Xenopus tropicalis: one gene and its partners. The protein of the gene in region 2 binds, or shares a complex with, the protein of the main gene of each other region. Links are inferred from orthologs where the notes say so. Each region holds a gene or a part of one and is shown on either strand. Other genes may lie near its edges. The genes, in order: casr, gnaq, f2rl1 and plcb3.

Evidence for each region.
Region 1: the proteins of gnaq (region 2) and casr are in contact, whole or in part, in a cryo-EM structure (PDB 8SZG), measured with the Homo sapiens proteins. The link is inferred for Xenopus tropicalis from reciprocal best matches to the Homo sapiens genes GNAQ and CASR. Residues at the interface, in NP_002063.2 of Homo sapiens: His63, Leu196, Gln197, Ser198, Ile323, Tyr325, Ile337, Arg338, Phe339, Phe341, Ala342, Lys345, Asp346, Ile348, Leu349, Gln350, Leu351, Asn352, Leu353, Glu355, Tyr356, Leu358, Val359; in NP_000379.3 of Homo sapiens: Lys644, Ala645, Asn647, Arg701, Val702, Leu704, Val705, Phe706, Ala708, Lys709, Ile710, Pro711, Thr712, Phe714, Phe801, Arg873, Thr876, Ala877, His879, Ala880, Phe881, Val883, Ala884, Arg886, Ala887, Thr888, Leu889.
Region 3: the proteins of gnaq (region 2) and f2rl1 are in contact, whole or in part, in a cryo-EM structure (PDB 9D0A), measured with the Homo sapiens proteins. The link is inferred for Xenopus tropicalis from reciprocal best matches to the Homo sapiens genes GNAQ and F2RL1. Residues at the interface, in NP_002063.2 of Homo sapiens: Arg37, Ile323, Tyr325, Asp346, Ile348, Leu349, Gln350, Asn352, Leu353, Glu355, Tyr356, Asn357, Leu358, Val359; in NP_005233.4 of Homo sapiens: His108, Pro109, Ala110, Met114, Gln172, Arg173, Val176, Ile177, Pro180, Met181, Gly182, His183, Ser184, Arg185, Met265, Met268, Leu269, Met274, Asp275, Asn277, Lys280, Lys281, Arg284, Ala285, Leu288, Ile289, Tyr344, Tyr345, Val347, Ser348.
Region 4: the proteins of gnaq (region 2) and plcb3 are in contact, whole or in part, in a cryo-EM structure (PDB 8UQO), measured with the Homo sapiens proteins. The link is inferred for Xenopus tropicalis from reciprocal best matches to the Homo sapiens genes GNAQ and PLCB3. Residues at the interface, in NP_002063.2 of Homo sapiens: Pro185, Thr186, Thr187, Ile189, Glu191, Pro193, Arg202, Gln209, Arg210, Ser211, Glu212, Arg213, Arg214, Lys215, Trp216, Ile217, His218, Val240, Glu241, Glu245, Glu249, Glu250, Ala253, Leu254, Arg256, Thr257, Ile258, Thr260, Tyr261; in NP_000923.1 of Homo sapiens: Pro257, Arg258, Leu259, Asn260, Glu261, Val262, Leu263, Arg707, Asp709, Lys710, Ile719, Asp721, Gly722, Ile723, Val724, Ala725, Ser845, Asp846, Tyr847, Ile848, Pro849, His852, Tyr855, Ala856, Ala858, Leu859, Ile860, Asn861, Pro862, Ile863.

What each region holds. Positions count from the first base shown.
Region 1 is NC_030678.2:2,451,888-2,455,677, forward strand, and holds the end of casr (extracellular calcium-sensing receptor), read right to left. Parts: intron 2,677-3,790; coding exon 1,283-2,676; 3' UTR 956-1,282; downstream 1-955. UniProt on the Homo sapiens protein: G-protein-coupled receptor that senses changes in the extracellular concentration of calcium ions and plays a key role in maintaining calcium homeostasis.
Region 2 is NC_030677.2:132,493,135-132,497,865, reverse strand, and holds part of gnaq (guanine nucleotide-binding protein G(q) subunit alpha), read left to right. Parts: intron 1-3,336; coding exon 3,337-3,521; intron 3,522-4,731.
Region 3 is NC_030677.2:184,881,161-184,886,502, forward strand, and holds the start of f2rl1 (proteinase-activated receptor 2), read left to right. Parts: upstream 1-2,120; 5' UTR 2,121-2,401; coding exon 2,402-2,465; intron 2,466-5,342. UniProt on the Homo sapiens protein: Receptor for trypsin and trypsin-like enzymes coupled to G proteins.
Region 4 is NC_030680.2:35,339,101-35,343,831, reverse strand, and holds part of plcb3 (1-phosphatidylinositol 4,5-bisphosphate phosphodiesterase beta-3), read left to right. Parts: intron 1-1,494; coding exon 1,495-1,581; intron 1,582-2,558; coding exon 2,559-2,783; 3' UTR 2,784-4,731. UniProt on the Homo sapiens protein: Catalyzes the production of the second messenger molecules diacylglycerol (DAG) and inositol 1,4,5-trisphosphate (IP3).

The DNA of each region.
Region 1 (3,790 bases), on a different chromosome or scaffold from region 2:
ACTTATTTTTCGCTGTTAAACAGAACTGTTCCTTTAATACAGGTGCGTCTATACCTGTAAGCTCCTCCCCCATTGCTGGGTCCGTACAAGCGACTCGCATCACAACCCAAAATAGGGGTGTGGCCTTTGCCATCAATTGCTGATATCCCACAATCCAAGATGGATCCTGTATATCGGGGGGGGGGGGGGGCAGCAATAATTTCCCAACATTCCCAGCAAATATTTATTAATGTAAGTAACAGTATAACAGTATATTCCCTAATACAGGTTTCCCCTATAACATACACAGTGGAACACAGCACCCCCCCCCTCCCCCGGCCCAGCTATGCATCATGGGAATATTATTACTCTACAGTATTTACAGCATCTATGTGTCATTATGGGTAATGTGCTACATACAGACTATAGTGCGACATTGTAGGCTCCGTACAGACGTCTCATTGGGGGTCATCCTGTTGGGGGGTTGGGATTGGGGTGCACTGAATCCGCTACTTTAGGATCCGGCCGAACCCTCTGCCCCACGGCGCCCCCTAGTTTTGCTATAGGAGCTGCCAAAAAACATAATTATAGATGCAAGAAAATTCACCAATGAGAGTTCTACTCATTATAAATGCAAGAGAAGTGACCAATGAGAATGCTGATTCCCTGTGTCAGGCCCCTTGCTGGTACCTTACATATAGAGATAATGATGGCATTTTCCCGTCATTATATGGCACAGGAATCAGACATGGGGATAAAGGGACAGACTTGTTCAGTGCTGGGAAACTGTGCTTATTGCTCCCAACTCCAATTGCAGGAACAGAGAACAGGGAGCCGGATTTACTCACATCAGCTGGGATTCTCATTGGGGGAAAGTTTTTTTGGGCAATATTGCTTTAAGAATACAGCCCTGATGTTGCTGTACTACAGCTCCCAGCATGCCTCACCCTTCATTATATGTTACATTATTCTGGGATTTGTAGTCCTGCAACAGCTGAGTAACGTTTGGTTGAGCCGCAGGGTTTACTTCCCCTTTAATCATTCGGATTCGGTTAGGCCAGAGGAATGGATTCGGGCGAATCCTGGATTCCGTGCACCCCCACTTTGGAATGAACCCTATTTCCCACACTGATATGAATAAACATTTACAAGGCAGTAAGATTTGGGGGGGCTACGCCCGACGTATGTCTCGAAGGAACTGTCTTTGCTTCTCGGTGGAGCCGGGGCCCCAAGAGACAAGTTTAACAGAGTTCATATCTCCTAGCGGGTTCTGCAGAGCCACCGCTCCGTGTAAGTGCAAGTATTAGGAGTTCACCGCATTCTCTGTGATGGTTCCGTCGGTGACGCTCTTGGAGTTCCCCATCTGGGGCAGATCTGCGCTCTCGGGTTTGACCGATTCTAGGGATCCGGCCTCGTCGATGTTGGAGGCGGTTCTGAAACTGGACTCGCTGCCGGCGTCGCTGTTCTGCAGGGGGAGGAGAGCGCGGTGCCGCATCAGACTGTCGTCGCTGTTCTTGCCTTCCAGCGAGTTCTTGGCCCTGGTGGTTCTGTTGGACACGGCGTTCCTTTGGGTTTCGTCGAAGCTCAGCGACAGGGTGACGGTGCCGCTGCCGAAGCTGACTTTCTGCTTGCAGGCCCGGTTCTTGTCCCCTATGGAGAAATGCTCGTCGTGGTTGCTCTTGCTGCTGATGGAAGAGGACGGCGTGGAACCGGTGGACCCCCCGAGGCTGTTGGACCTCTTGTGCGAGACGTTGCTGCGCCTCAGGGTCGCCCTGGCCGCCACCTTGAAAGCGTGGGCTACGGTGCTGCAGCGCACTTCTTCTATGGTGTTCCTGGACGGTTTGAAGAGGATGATATAGACCTTGTTGAAGAAAATACAGGCCAGGAGGCCGAAGCTGGAGGCCAAGATGGCGATGACTTCGACCGCGGAGACAAATTTGCCGTAGGTGGAGGCGTAAGCGGGGATGAAGGAAATCCAGACGATGAAGAATATGAGCATGCTGAACGTGATGAACTTGGCCTCGTTGAAGTTCTCCGGAAGCTTCCGGGCCTTGAAGGCAAAGAAGAAGCAGATGGCAGCCAGGAGGCACGTGTAGCCAATGAGAAAGCCCAGGGCCATCAAGGAACCTTCGTTGCACGTAATGAAAATGATCTCGTCCTCCAGGTCCTGGTTTCTGTAGCTCCAGGGCGGCGCCGTGTACAGCCAGATAATGCAGGTCACGATCTGCACGAAGGTGCAAAGGAACACCAAAAGGAACTGCAGGTTCAGGCCCCACCACTTCCTCTGGAAACTGGTGGGGATTTTGGCTTCAAACACCAGCAGGATGCGGTTGGTCTTCACCAGGATGCAGGAGATGCACAGCACGAAGCTGATGCCGAACGCCGGCTGCCGCAGCCGACACGTCCAGTCCTGGGGCTCCCCGAGGAAAATCAGCGAGCTGGAGAAGCAGCAGATCAGGGAGAACAGGAGGAGGTAGGACAGTTCCCGGTTGGTGGCCTTGACGATGGGGGTGTTGCGGAACTTGATGAAGACGCCAAGGACAAAGGACGTCAGGCAGATCCCCAAGATGGCGAACATGGTCAGGGCGATGCCGAAGGGCTCCGTCCAAGACAGGAACTCGATCTGCTTGGCGATGCAGGAGGTGTGGTTGTCGTTGGACCAGTAGTCCTTGGCGCACTTCTCACAGGCGCTGGCATCTGGCAAAGCAAACACAAGCGCCGTTATTCATGGGCATAGCAACCGGGAGTTGGTTATGTATTGGCATAGCAACACTGGGAGCCGGTTATGTATTGGCATAGCAACCGGGAGTCGGTTATGTATTGGCATAGCAACCAGGAGACGGTTATGTATTGGCATAGCAACCGGGAGTCGGTTATGTATTGGCATAGCAACCAGGAGACGGTTATGTATTGGCATAGCAACCGGGAGTCGGTTATGTATTGGCATAGCAACACTGGGAGCCGGTTATGTATTGGCATAGCAACACTGGGAGATGGTTATGTATTGGCATAGCAACACTGGGAGCCGGTTATGTATTGGCATAGCAACACTGGGAGATGGTTATGTATTGGCATAGCAACCGGGAGCCGGTTATGTATTGGCATAGCAACACTGGGAGCCGGTTATGTATTGGCATAGCAACACTGGGAGATGGTTATCTATTGGCATAGCAACCGGGAGCCGGTTATGTATTGGCATAGCAACACTGGGAGCCGGTTATGTATTGGCATAGCAACACTGGGAGCCAGTTATGTAATGGCATAGCAACACTGGGAGATGGTTATGTATTGGCATAGCAACCGGGAGCCGGTTATGTATTGGCATAGCAACACTGGGAGATGGTTATGTATTGGCATAGCAACACTGGGAGATGGTTATGTATTGGCATAGCAACCGGGAGCCGGTTATGTATTGGCATAGCAACACTGGGAAATGGTTATGTATTGCCATAGCAACACTGGGAGATGGTTATGTATTGGCATAGCAACCAGGAGCCGGTTATGTATTGGCATAGCAACCGGGAGCCGGTTATGTATTGGCATAGCAACACTGGGAGCCGGTTATGTATTGGCATAGCAACACTGGGAGCCGGTTATGTATTGGCATAGCAACACTGGGAGCCGGTTATGTATTGGCATAGCAACACTGGGAGATGGTTATGTATTGGCATAGCAACACTGGGAGCCGGTTATGTATTGGCATAGCAACACTGGGAGATGGTTATGTATTGGCATAGCAACACTGGGAGCCAGTTATGTATTGGCATAGCAACACTGGGAGCCGGTTATGTATTGGCATAGCAACCGGGAG
Region 2 (4,731 bases):
AGTGCCATCTGTGTTTGAAAATTCTGTATTCATAAATGTTGGCTGGGGGTAGGCATCTCTTCTCCCACCCCCTAATTTAATCTAAGTTAGGGAGGATCAGTGGTTGCAGCATGCCCTGTACTTCGACCTGTGGCATGCTTCCCTTATTTATGTAGGCCCTGGACAGAAGCACTAAGCCCTAGTTGGTTTTACACATAACTTTAAGATTATGTTTTCATTGTGCTAAAGTTTATACAGTTGAACCCTGATTTAACTTTTCCCAGGTGCTGTGTCAAAACAGTGTAAATTCTGGGAAAACTTTAAATCCAGGAAAGAAAAAATGCATGTTGCCTGAATGGGACCCTGGGTTTAGCACCCCCTTTCAATATATGTGATTTAAAAGATGTGTGAACCGGTTTACTTTTTGTATACCCGTGGGCCTAATTATATTGGTACTAATAATTTTAAATCCTTAATGCAGAAAGATCTGCTAGTAATTGTAGATAAGAGGCATGACCCTCTAAGGCAGTGATAACCAACCAGTGGCTGTTGAGCAGCATGTTGCTCACCAACCCCTTGGATGTTGCTCTCGGTGCCCCCAAACCAGGTAGTTATTTTTGAATTCCTGACATGGTGGCAAGTTTTGGTTGGAAAAAAACAAATTTACTACCAAATAAAGCCTCCTGTTAAGCTGATGCCAGACGTGGCGTAGGGCTGATATTTTCGGCAAGCGGAAAAACGCTTGGCGAAAATACAGCCCTACGCCTGCTACTTGTGCCTGCACCCGAATGAATGAGACGCGTTTTCATGCGTATATCGACTACATGTGCCTGCACCCGAGCGTATCTCATTCATTCGGGTGCAGGCACAAGTAGCAGGGTTAGGGCTGTATTTTCGCCAAGCGTTTTTCCGCTTGCCGAAAATATCAGCCTACGCCACATCTGGCATCCGCGTAAGCTGATAGTGTGCATAGAGGCTACCTAGTAGCCAATCTTTAGCCCTTATTTGGCTCCCCCATGAACTTTTATGATGCTTGTATTGCTCTCCAAGTCATTTTATACTTTACTGTTGCTTTACTGTTGCTGCAGATTTGTCACCCTCAAAATGCCTTCCCCCAGCCTAAGCTTTGGATCGCTGCAAGTAAAACGATTGCTGCTGCCATGGGCTCCGATGCTGATTTTTTGATCCCGGCGGCGCTCTGGCAGCAATGTACTTTCTATAATTTTGCAATCTGTGCATATCGGTGGGAAGAATGTGTTTTCCTAGGCAATGCACAGCATCAAAGCACGCTGATTGCTAGCAGACAAAGAGATTGATTTTTTTAAAAAGTATGGGAAGAATCTGAGCATTATGTAAAATACACTGACATGAAAATGCTCTTTCTTACATTTATATTAATCTTCAAATTTCATTGGCTCAATCATTGCTATTATTAAATGTCCCCATGTCCTTTGACTGAATCCCATGAATGTAGAGAGCTTTTGTTTCATAGGTTTCATAACATATTAAAGTGTTTCCTATGATATAAAAATCCAGCACATGATGGCAGTTATGGCATGATGTAAACGGGTTTTTTTTCTCATGCTTTTATTTTTATTTTTGCCTCAAGGTACTTTTTATATGCATAAACAGTTTGGGTTAATCCTTCCCATAGTGACAAGACTTTTGAGGAAAACTGTTATACAAAAATTCACTGTAGTTCTGTTTTCCAAATAGTATTAAAGGAAAACTATACCCCCAGAATGAATACTTAACCAACAGATCGGTCACATAACATAATATAAACTATTAAAGAATCTCGCCAAACTGGAATATTATTGCCCTGTCCATTCATAGGCTGATGTGGCCATGTATGTGTGCCTTGGCTTGATTGTATGCACTGCGAATCCTATGATCCCAGGAGGCGGCCCTTAATTCTTAAAATGGCAATTTGACTACTAAAGTATATTTTTATGAAAATGATTTATTTAGATGAAAAAGGATTTGACACATGAGCTGTTTATGCAATATATTTTTATAGAGACCTACATTGTTTGGGGTTATAGATTTCATTTAATCATAGTTATTGTGACATGTTGGGGTGTTAATGTATTATTTGTGACCTCCTTTAACCTAACCGTTTTTCCCAGTTTCTGTGAGTGCCAGACTGATAACAGGATCAGCTGAGTGTTACATAGGGCAAAAATTGGGTTGGGGAGCATGTACCATTCAATGACTACTTTTCTTGTTCGAACTGATTACATCACTAATCAGTAAGAAAATGTTATGTTGGTGCACCTTATGGTAAATGTTACTTCAAGCTATTTTTTTTTTTTTTTTTTCTGTAAAAGTACTTTTTGTCTCTAAGGCCAGTGGCAGTCATAGCAGTTTGAGATGTTTGCCCATAACAGGTTTTTTTACGCTAAAATCATGGCTTTGAAAACTCCCTAAATCATTTTTATATATAGGCATTATGGTTGAACGTGATGGACGTACGTCTTTTTTTCAACCTAACTTACTATGTTACTATGTATTTTCCCGTTTATTTTTGTGGGAGTAGCTTAAAAACATTGGCAATTTGCTAAAGGACTTTCTTTCTTAAAATGTGCCTATTACAGACAAAACATGATAGAAAATGCCAGCAGGAATCCCATAGGCAGCAATGGGGTCAGGGTTAATCTGTGTATTCTAAAAACAGAAATACTGTGTAGTGCAAGATCCCTGAAATCCTTATTTTTTAAATAATTTGGTTGTAATATTTTTTTTAACAAAATAAAATCTTAAAAAAAAAATATAAAGAAGAAAATACATTTCTGTGAAAATCCATGGGGACAATGGGTGTGGCTTGGGGGCAGTTTTCTTCAGAAAAAAAAAGATTGTACCAATTTGTTTTAAAGTATATCTTTAATGCCGGGGTGCCCTCATCAGATGCTCTCCATGTGGAATCTTGAGAACACCCAGTTCTTGTGCATTGAATATTGTGTTATTGACGCACAGAGTGTTTGTTAGATCACCTATAAACAAATAAATAAGGTTGAGGAGACTGCCTCATACAGACAAAAGCAAACAAAAGGAATTCTGGGAATGAATTCCAAAACTCTTAAAAAAAAAAAAATCCCATTTACATGGGTTTATCATATAGGCTACAGCTCACCCACTGGGTTTAAAGCTGAAGCCAGGATAATAGCTGATCAGATTCCCAACTACAGACCGGTTTCGCCTTACTTGAGGCTCATCAGTGTAGTGCAGGGTTTTCTGATCAGCTTAGGTAGATTTTTTTTTTAAGAGTTTTGGAATTCATTCCCAGAATTCCTTTTGTTTGCTTTGATCACCTATGAAACCAATATGTTAACTAAACGAATATTATTTTCTTCTCAGGCACAGGAGAAAGTGGAAAAAGCACATTTATCAAACAGATGAGAATAATCCATGGATCTGGTTATTCAGATGAAGATAAAAGGGGGTTCACAAAGCTTGTCTATCAAAATATATTCACTGCAATGCAAGCTATGATTCGAGCCATGGACACCCTTAAAATCCCATACAAGTATGAACACAACAAGGTAAGATTTTAGTAGACTTTTTCTCCTACTGGAAGATAATTTTTGGTTAGACTAGATCAGACTCATGCATGTGGTCGGTAGAAGTACTGAATAAATAATTAAACAAGAATTAGGGTTTTATGTGTAATTAATTGGGGTTTACTTTATGCAACTTTTATGTCTGTGTGACAGGTCTGCAAATGAGTATACATATCTTAACCACCTACAGTTGGTGGCTACAGAGCTTGGTATCCAAGAACTGCACCATGTTTCGCACAGCAATTCCAGTGAATATTAACTATATATATTAGTTTATTTGTACCTTGTCTGTCCAAAAGGCTAATCTTACAGCTTTGAGGCTACACTCCCCAAACTTGAATCACATAGTCATGGGGTCAGCCTGAATGAAAATATGATGATTGCTGGATGCCCAAAAGTGGGCGGAGCTGTGAACAGCCAATTAGATTTTAACGATTGACTTGGCGGTACAGTAATAACATCAGGGTCCCCAAACTTTGCAGGGTTAGGCACCAGGTTACTGTGGTTCAAAGTTTAAAAAATAGGGGGTGGAGCCACCAACAGCCAATCAGATTTTACCTATTGACTTTTAATGGGGAAATTCAACCTGCTGCCATTCTCACACTATTAACCCCAGGGCCCTCAAATTTTTCACAGTTGGTCACTAGGGAAAGTTTTGGAAAAAGTGGGCAGAGCCACCAGCAACCAATCAGATTTCACCTATTGAATTTTATTTGTTTGATGCCAGGGTTCCCAAACTTTGCACAGTCAGTCATTGGGTGACTACGTAGTCAAGGTTAGAAAAAGTGGGCTGGGCTGCCAAAAGCCAATCACACTTTTTTCATTGTTTTCAGTGGAGAAATTTTAACTGCTGCTATTCTCACATGTTTAATGTCAGGGTCCCCAAGCTTTGCACAGTTTGTCACTGGATGGCCAATCAGATTTCACCTATAGACTTCATATGTTTAAATGTAAACTGGAGCTATTCTTTAAATATTAATACTAAGGTCCCCAAACTTTGCAGAGCTAGTCACTAGGTAAGTGCGGTTCACAATTAGAAAAAGTGGGTGGAGCCACCAAGGGCCAATCAGATTTTAAGGATTGATTTTTAATGGGGAAATTCAACCTGCTGCCATTCTCCCAGTATTAACACCAGGGTCACTAGGGGACTGCATTTTTAGGTTTTAAAAAGTGGATTGAGCCACTAACAGCC
Region 3 (5,342 bases), about 52 Mb from region 2:
AAATAGCTACAGTCATGATGTTTGGGATAAAGACTGTGGGGCATGGGGGAGGAGATGGTGTATATGCCTGTTTGTATCTCTAAGTTACCCTCCCATATAGATTGTAAGGGACCTCCATCCTCTTGTGTCTTTGCCTCTTAACTTATTGCAGCTGTATCTTGTATTTATTTATTTGTATTTATTGTTATACTTTGTATTTATCTATTATCTTAATAACTAATAATCTAAAAGACCTCTGTTAGTAACCTACTTGGAAGTCCTACTTGGAAAATTGCCATAACTACTAAACTAATTTCTTAAATGTATTCTGTTTTCCTTTTGTGAAAATAATTGGTCTTCTTTTAGCAGAAGCAGAACCAAAAATAATCTTGTGGATACATTGTGCATCTGCAAAATGTAAGGAAAGTTTCTCACCTGCAAACCCAGGACTCTCTTCTGTTTTCTGCCCGGTGCTCAGGAGTTGTGGGGATCGACACCCTCACCAGTACTTTCCTTTTGCTCAAAGTTCTGCATAATGGAACCCAACGCCCCATAGCATTGTCCTGCTGTTTATGTGTAATCATATCAGCAATTCTGGAATCAAATAATATATATATCTATAGCAAGACTTACAACAGGCTTCTTGTGATAACATCAATGTACATACAGATGACGTAAAAGCTAAGTCACAGATTGAAGTGACTGAAGTGAGAGAGATCTGAAACACTAAGCAGAATGTGGGAAGTTCCTATGGATGCTTTATTGTCTGTTGGGACATGCTTTAGAGGTCATCAAATAGCACACATTCCTTTGTATATAAAAGGATATGTTGTAACACTCACATATCTTGATAACACAGAGGAGTACAAAGGACGACTGCTTTTCCTGGTTGCCGGTAGCTAATTGGCCCGTGTATGGGCACTACCCCAGGGCCCACCCAACCGATATCTGGCCTGAAATCAGTCAGGTTAAAAAAATCTAGTCAGATCGGGGGCCACATCGGCTCGTTGATGCGATCCTTGGACCGACTTTTCCTATACCCGTTGTTATAATTTGATCGTTTGGCCCCAGAGCCAAATGATCAAATTAGTCTTGATTCTCCCAATATCGGCCACCTGTAGGTGGGAATATCGGGAGAAGATCCGCTCGCTTGGCGACATTGCCAAAATCTGCTGAAAATCTCTGGAGGAGTTTAGCCCCTAGTTCTTTTTTTAGAGTAAACTCTTCAACCCTGTTGCGGTCTACTAATCATAGTATCAGGCCATAGCAAGTGAGTAGGTGTTTAATCACTGTATAGTGCTGCTTGAGGTCTCCAACCTCTGAACAAACACCTACACAAACACCTACACAAACATCTACACAAGCACTTACACAAACATCTACACGAACAATTACACAAACACTTACACAAACATCTACACAAACACCTACACAAACACTTACACAAACACTTACACAAACATCTACACAAACACTTACACAAACATCTACACAAACACTTACACAAACACTTACACAAACATCTACGCAAACACCTACACAAACACTTAAACAAACACCTACACAAACACTTAAGCTGGCCATACATGTGGCGATCTGACGATGTTTCGTGCGACCATCGGTCGCACAAAACATCATCAGATCCGCCACACACAGTCAGTCACAGCCCTGACGGAAGATTTTGGTCAGGCGCCTTCTATGGCGCCCGATCAAAATTTTCTAACCTGGCCGATCGGCGAGTCGACCGATATCAGCAGCTTCCTGCGATATCGGTCGACTCGCCGACATGCCATACACGCACCGAATATTGTACGAAACGAGGTTTTGTACGATAGTATCGGTGCGTGTATGGCCAGCTTTACATGGGACATATTTATTATAGAAATTGTCTCACTCTGCCAGAGGAAACTTTATTACTATGTAATATGGAACGCCCCTAAAAATAGTACATCCCTATGGGGAGAACTGTTGTAGCTCTGTTTCAGCCCCGGATAAATGTGTCTCATTGGCAACAGATTTTATAGAGAAAAAAATTAAACGTTTATAACAAAGTGGATCTTTTACTCCACTTTGTTCTTACAGCAAAACGTGTACAACGTGAGAGTATGAATGCGGTAATGCAGTATGTGGTGACTGACAAGGCGCTTGCCCCCTTGCTCAATAGCCCGCCAGTCAGTCCGATCAACTAGTGACGTCAGTGGCGTGGGCGGGGCGAGCGCTCAGGTGCGCAGAGTTTCAGTGATACCCGGGAGTTGCGGGACAGAGACCGGAGCGGAGCGGTTGGAGTAGGGCGGTGAGTTGGGAGCTGCGCCTATTCACTCTCAGTCACCTTCCAGCCGCGGAGCGATTTCCTTCCTAACCTACCACCGCCACCTGAAGACTTCATTCCCGAATCCAAGCCCGGGCTCCAAAGGGAAAGGACATGGGGGACTGGCGGTGGGGGCTGCTCATACTCGGGGCGTTGCTGTGTTTTGACGCCGTAACAGGTAAGGGCATTAGGGCAGCCTGTAACATGCCGCAACTATCGCTTTACTGTGTGATTCTCTCCGCTTCTTGCTGGTCAGCCTCTTGCCCCCAACCTGTTACTAGCTCTAGCTGAACCTGTTACTAGCTCTAGCTGAACTACAACTCACGCCAGTAACTAGGAGTATAGTTGAGGTTAAGGCACAGTGTTAATGCTACGGCCCAGGATCACATTGTGTGTGTGTGTCCCATTGTGTGTGTGTGTGTCTCATTGTGTGTGTGTGTGTGTCCCCCATTGCCTGGGCTTTGTCTCAGGGGCAGTAGTGTGGGGGCAGGGCTCCCTAGTACTACGCTATTGGTTGCACTGGGGTAACATAGTAGGCAAGGATGAAAAAACACCTCCATGCCAAATCACTTATACCGGGACTACTTTCAGTATTGGAAAAATTGTGCGATTGATCACTGGCCCCTCATTTGTACATATTTAAATTTGGACATAGATCCAAAAGTAATATATCTAATGAAAGAAAAGTATCCAAACAACCTCCCTACACTCACTCGTTACACATTTTCTGTGGTTTTCAAGTTGTTCCCAAATGTTAGTTTTGAAAGCAGTATTTCTCCGCCCATTGTTATTTTCTGCACTGCTGGTTCTGACTTTACAATGTATCAATTTGAATCAGCAGAGCAGAAACAGACAGATAATGCTTTTAAATAAGTGTTTTTACTTTTAACATCCCTTTCATAATTATGTATATATAATATAATTACTACTACTCTAAGATTTCTGCCAACATTTATGAGGTACCTCACCGTGTGAATAGTCTGGCCAATAAGCCCCTTATTAACCCCCTAATGACATCTGAGAGTGGCCGTACACACACCAATATCATCCAAAACAAAGTTCCGAAGATAATCAGTGTGTGTATGGTGGGAGACTAGGCAACCAATATCAGTAAAAGCCTTGGATATTGACGATCGGACAGGACTGGATGTTGAAGGTGCCCGAAATCATAATATTAGGGGGGTATATAACTTTCATATCTGACGATTCAGCTTTAAGCATGTTCCTTTTCCGGGGGGAGGGGGAGTTGCATCTGGCTCTGTGTATGTGTTAGAAGGGGTGAGTGTAGGGTTAATGTAACCAGTCGCAGGCTTTACAGTAAGACTTGGCCTATGGGTTCCTGCTCTCCCATACAGGAGTGAGATGGCATCACCTTGGCATGATATACATAGTCTGGGAAACTGGATGCATGTGTATCTTCCATGTTGGATCATAGCACATGCCAGGAGGCAGCCCCCAGTTCTGCACATTAGTTAGTGCAGGACCTGTGATCACAAATACCTAGTAACCATGCGTCACTGAGACCCACCATCTAACAATGAAATCCTCTGTTCCCCATAACTTCTGTCTGTGTGTGTCTGGCTTATCAGTGCAGTGTGCCAGGCTGTCTGGAATGTGAAAGGGCACACTGTACTTTATGTACGTAGCTACTGTTGTGGGGGTGAGACTTCCGTTTGTTGAGCTTTTACTAAAAGACGTGAATTCGTACACTGGGGGTGCGTATAAGGACATATATACTTTATATATGGGAAGTACTTAATAATGGCTATATGTATGGGTCCTTTCTGACAATAAGGGCCAAAAGTTATGGACGGTTTGTGTTGTGCAGGGAGCTTTATTTATCAAGGTCTGTTATTTTGTCTCAGTGTTTCCAGCTGCGTAATGAATCAGTCCAAGTTTGTTTCCCCCAGAGCGATCAGTGAATATAACATTCCCCTTTGTTTGCCATTCTGTTACGTACGTTCTAGCTTTCCAGAAGGTGCTTCTATATTCCTAGGCCCCAGGGCTAAACCACATGTTCCTTCATTGGAGTCTGTTCTATTCAGCTTCTATTGTTTCATCCTGGGCAAAGCACATATCGTCTTGTAATCAGTATGACCTGCCCTTAGATTATTATTGCCACTGGGTGTATAAGATATACATACGTGTTCTGTACTCACCGCAGTCTAGTAGTTATAAGGGAAAATGCTTTAAAGGGGTAGTTACGCTTCCAGCAATGCTGCTGACTATAATGGCATACAATGTTATTGTTACTGTAGACACATTATGTGGTTTGTGAGTTATATAAAGACTTGTTCTGCAGCTCTCCAGTTCAGAATTTCAACATCATTTGGCATCAGGCAACGTTTTGAGAGTAAGAATGGAAGATAAATTGGAGAGGGCTTCAGCAAAACACATATGTAATAATCCTCTTACAGGGTATCTGTTTTTTGTTTCCTCAGTAACCCAGGCAACCCTTTTAAGTTGTCCAATCTGTAACAGTCTAAAAGTTAATTTAATGGTGGATTTCCCCTTTTACAAGTATTGACCAAGCACCAACATATACTGCAGCTCTGTACAATAGAATGGTATATACATCAAACAGATTTACATACAGATAACTTGACACCATTCCTGTTGTTTTGCTAATGGGGCATTCGATTGCCCCAATTTATATTTTCCTGCTGCAGATAAGATTCTTCTGACACAAATTGGAATTGACACTGGTTGCTTTGGACCCACAATATCTGTGCCATGAATAGAAACCAGCAGTGCTTCCCATTTAGTCAACAGAAGTCAACCGGTGGCAAGCAGTGGTCACTTTGATCAGCCCATGCGCCATTACCATACATTTTTACAGAATTAATCATTTCCTGAGATTGTGGCCTATGTGTAATATAACAAAAGTAGTTTTATTAGTGTAGGGGGTAAAGCTTTGCCAACCTTTAATTCCTGTAGTTCCCAGTTGGGTTTTGGCCAGCTAGGTTTGCTCCTATAATACAGCTGGAAGGGGGAGTTTGTTTATTGGCAGCTTATGATCTGGTACCATCTAAATCGGCACCCATTTGGCCAGGTT
Region 4 (4,731 bases), on a different chromosome or scaffold from region 2:
CTTTACTGCGGAGCTGCAAGTTGGAGTGATATCACCCCCCTCCCAGCAGCCGATCAGCAGAACAATGGGAAGGGAGCAAGATAGCAGCTCCCAGTAGGTGTCAAAATAGCATTCAATAGTAAAGCTGGCCATGCACTCACCGATATCAACGGTGGATCAACGATACCACCAATATCAGGTTGTTTCTTTCTCCATATCTGATGATTCAGCCCTGAATGTCATTGGAGGGAACAAACCATCTTTCCTGCGACCAATGATTGAAAGATCATAATTGGTACATATATGACCACCTTAAAAAATCCAAGTCCGGCTTGGGACTCCTCCAGTTACATGGAAGTAGGAGAAACAATAGGTTATCTGAAAGCAGTTCTGATGTGTAGCGCTGGCTCCTTCTGAAAGCTCAGACTCAGGCACAATGCACTGAGATGGTGCCTACACACCAATATTACAGCTAAAAATACATTTGTTGGTTCAAGAAAAACATTTTAAATGGTAGAGTGAATTATTTGCTATGTAAACAGTGTAATTTAGAAATACCATAAAAATCATTCACATAAACAGTATCCCTTTAAATTGTTTTTAGTTTGCTAAGTCTATGATTCTTAAGGTGGCCATACACGAGGCGATTTCGCTCGTTGTGCGATGAACGATTATATCGACAAACGATCGTATGGCGATCGAGTTCCCATACGATATGCCATCCACGGGCAACGATAATTCGGGAAAGATTTTGTCGCATCATTATCGTAAAATACGTACGATCGTACATCTACGTACGATCGAATGTCGTTGACTTCCGCTGCTGGCAATCGTGACATGCGCAGAGAACAATCGTTGAAAGACAAATGTCTGACACTCACACCAACTGGCAGATTTTATCGTTAAACGACCAAAATTTTTAAACCTGGCCGATCGATTTTGGGGACGATAATGTCGGCTCGTTTAGTGGGCTGACGATCGTTCGTACACCACCAACTATACGATAACTTAACGATAGCATCGGATCATTCGGGAATCGGTCGTTTGTAAGTAAAAAATCGGTCCGTGTATGGCCACCTTTAGAAACTCTTCAATTGATCTTTAGTTTTTATAGTTATTGGATTATTTGCCTTCTTCTTCTGCCTCTTTCCAGCTTTTTAAAAGGGTTCACTGACCCCAGCAGCCAACAAAAAAACACTACCTTCATTATTTGTTACTTCATATGACTTATGTTTCCATTTAGGCCCTCTGCCATTCATCTTCCTGTCTGTCATTCAAACCATTTCCTAGTTGCTAGGGCAAATTGGACCCTAGCAACCAGGTAGCTGCGGAAATTCCAAACAGAAAAGCTGCTGAAAACAAAAAGCTTAAATAATTCAAAATCTTCAAAATAATGAAAGCCGAAAATGCACTGCACTTTGCAAGTCTATATCTGAAAACCAAGTTGAGCTTATAATATATGGTAGTCTTGTGATGATGATGGCATCCAGTTCATTCTGTGTCTGTTTCTTTCAGCTGGAAGAGGCCCAGAAAAGGCGACAAGAGAAGCTGCAGGCGGCTCACCAGGAAACACTGCAAAGGATAAAAGATGAGGAGCCAAAGGTCAGCATTAATGTGACAGACACCATAATACCCTGATACCATCACTATAACATAGATCTTCTACTTGCCCTTTATTAGCTCCCCCCTTCTTATGTTGGCGTGACTCCCCTGTTTGCATGCAGCCTCTGGCCTATATGAAATAATGCGCACTTGGCCTGTACTTCATTATAATAAGGTTGAGTGGCCTTTAATTCATCCAATAAAAAAGATCTAGCAGATCTGAGGAGGAGTATGTACAGTATAAGGGGGGGTGGCTGCCTGTGCCTCACCGGGGCATTCCAGCCAATTAGTGATGAGCCGAATCTGTCCCATTTCAGTTTGGCGAAAAATGACCCACACAACCATTTTTTGACGCGCAACAATTTTTTTTGGTGAACTCTTTTGGCCAAACTCTTCCACAGCAAGTTTTTGTGCCCATTTCACGAAGCAATCGACCAGTGGCGAAACAGAGATTCGCCACGAATCCATGCCTGGCGAAGATTTTCACTCATCACTACAGCCAATCAATAGTATGCATAATGTTAGTGTGTGAGTCATGAAGTTTGATGTCTGATAAAGGGGCGTGTCACCAAAATGTCACATTTTATAAATAAACACGCAGGGTTATTCCCGTGGCATGTATGCTTTAGCATACGTTGGGCAAAATGCATTTGCACATATAAGGGGTTATGTAATAAAAGGCACTCATTTTGCCCAGGAGTGGTAACCCATAGCAACCAATCAGCAGGTAGCATTTACTGGTCACCTGTTTAAAAGCAAATATCTTATTGGTCCTGATCCTGGGCAAATGTTGTGCCTTTTATTACATATATTAATAAATTATCACATTATATGGGTGATAGTTTTATGATGACCAGATATCTATAGTTCATAGACGTTGGTCAGGATCATCGGGTCCCCCATACAGACACTGAAAATCACATTAACAGTCATCTTTCCATTCTCAACCCTCATGTCTTCCTTTCATTTTCTCCCAGCTGCAGGCACAGTTAGATGAGTCTTGCCAAGCTGAGTTCCGCCAGCTGCCCCAGGAGGTCCGACGTTACTTGCAGGAGGATGGCTGGGTTGGCAGTGGTTCAGGTCCTCCCTCTTCTTCACACAGCAGCCCGCCCTCAATAAGCCGGAGCTGGGGGTCGGAGTCTGGCGAAAAAGATTCTCTTCATTCCCCTGGAGACTCAAGTGATGAAGCCACCAGGCTCTGACCCCCACAATAAACAAATGAACTTTTTTCCTTCCAGATGCTAATCTTGGAACCCAACATTGACAAAACATGTCTCTAGTGTACAGGGTACTGATAAAATAAGATTTACCCAGGATGCAGCTGTGTACAAGCGCACCCCATAACCAGAGGGTCACAGGAGCCAGCTCTCCACACAAATCCAGATCTCTGCTCAGTACCCCCAAATGTAAACCATTCTGTGTAATTTGTGTCATCACAGATGTGGGGAGAGGAAAGAGGACATGGTACCTGAGTGTGAGTGAGTCAGCGAGTGAGTGAGTGAGTGGTGCAGAACACTATGGGAGAAGAAGTGCTGAGTGGCCCATGAACAGAAACTGTAGCTAAAATATAAACTGCTTCTATATTAAAGAGTATTTTGCAACATTGGCAAATATATATTTATTTAAAGGGATACTGTCATCAGAGTAAAAGTGTTTACTTACACCAGAAATCAATGTTTAATATTTGTGTAAAAGTAGTGTAGTTTTTTGTTTTTTTTCTGTGAAGGGGGGGGGGTGTTACTGATTTACTTCACTGCTGAAAAATGTCTCGTCTGTGCTTTGTGGCAGTTTCTACTTCAGTTCATAGCAGTGCTTTGTTGTTTGTTTATGACAGGTGTTCTAAATACACAACGATGGGCAGAGCGTTCCTCTTACAAGGCAAAGATAAGGACCAATTAGCCTGTGTATAAAATGATCCAACTACAGTGCTGCCCTTTGTCTGATGCAGATGTGAGTGGGAGAGTCTGAAACATTTAACGTCTGGGGCACATAAATCCATCATATCTAATCCTGCAATGCCAAAGAACGTCACAGCATTAATAATGACTATAGCAAATGGGGAGATTTGGCTGTCGCTGCCCTCTAGTGAAGGGTGCCTGTCACTGCTGCAATCCAGTAAGAGCCTGTCATTCCGTAGCATCTGGAGTGAGAAGAGGTGGAGAGGGGCATTTTGTCTGCCGCTGGTTCCAGCTGAGGGCAGTGTCCCTTTAACGTAGTCAGAAATACAGTCCTGAGATTCTGCTCTCATGGAATGTTCTTAGGAGGTGTCAGACTTTTTTATGACATTGTCAGTTGCAGACTGTGAATACAAGCAGCCACTTGCCATTTTAATGATGGCCAATACATTCCCCTAGGTGATGGCAAGCATGATCACCACTTAAAGGGTGGGTACCTATAGGTGTAAAGTGCACCTATCGTCAGCCAGGTTTTTGTTTTTCCACTTGCTCCATACATATTAAACCCAGGGTGCCGTTGGTGGAGGCAGCCCATTTTTATTGGCTCACCAACTATAAGGTATTTTAATATACAGCCAGAATAAAAACAAATAAAACACCAGCACTGAAAATCCCCATGGGGAGAGACTGTTCCATCTACTCTCTTTTTAACTAAACAGATAGCTGCCCCTGGCCTCCTATTGCAAGGCTTATTCTTCAGCACTTGTAACTACCGCTAAAAAAACAGTTTTAATCACTTATAGCACCATATAGAGTTGGCAGCAAAAGGTTTTAAAGAGATATCTGAAGGTCATCTGACATTTGTACATCATATAATGACCATCTGTGTATATCCCCCAATGTGGAGAGCTTTATGTGTACTTTCACTTCAGCTTTAGTTTCCCTTTATGTCGGTGATTAAACAAGCATCTCTATTGCTTGCTCTTTGCCCAGAAACTCCAGTGCCCCCTGCTGGCATCACTTTGGGCTTTAGTAAACGTAAGGCAAGTCGGCCTTATAATGGCTGGAGTGAGACATTATACAATGATTCCTAATGGTTCCTAATATCTCTCTTCTTGAGGAAGGTTTGGTTCTTAGAGTAACATATGAATTTGTAATATATGAAATGGAGAGTAGTTGCTGACCAGTGGGCCTCTCATTGCTTGGTATAACCCTCTCGTGTGTATGACTGGCACTGTGAGTGTTTGTGCGTGTA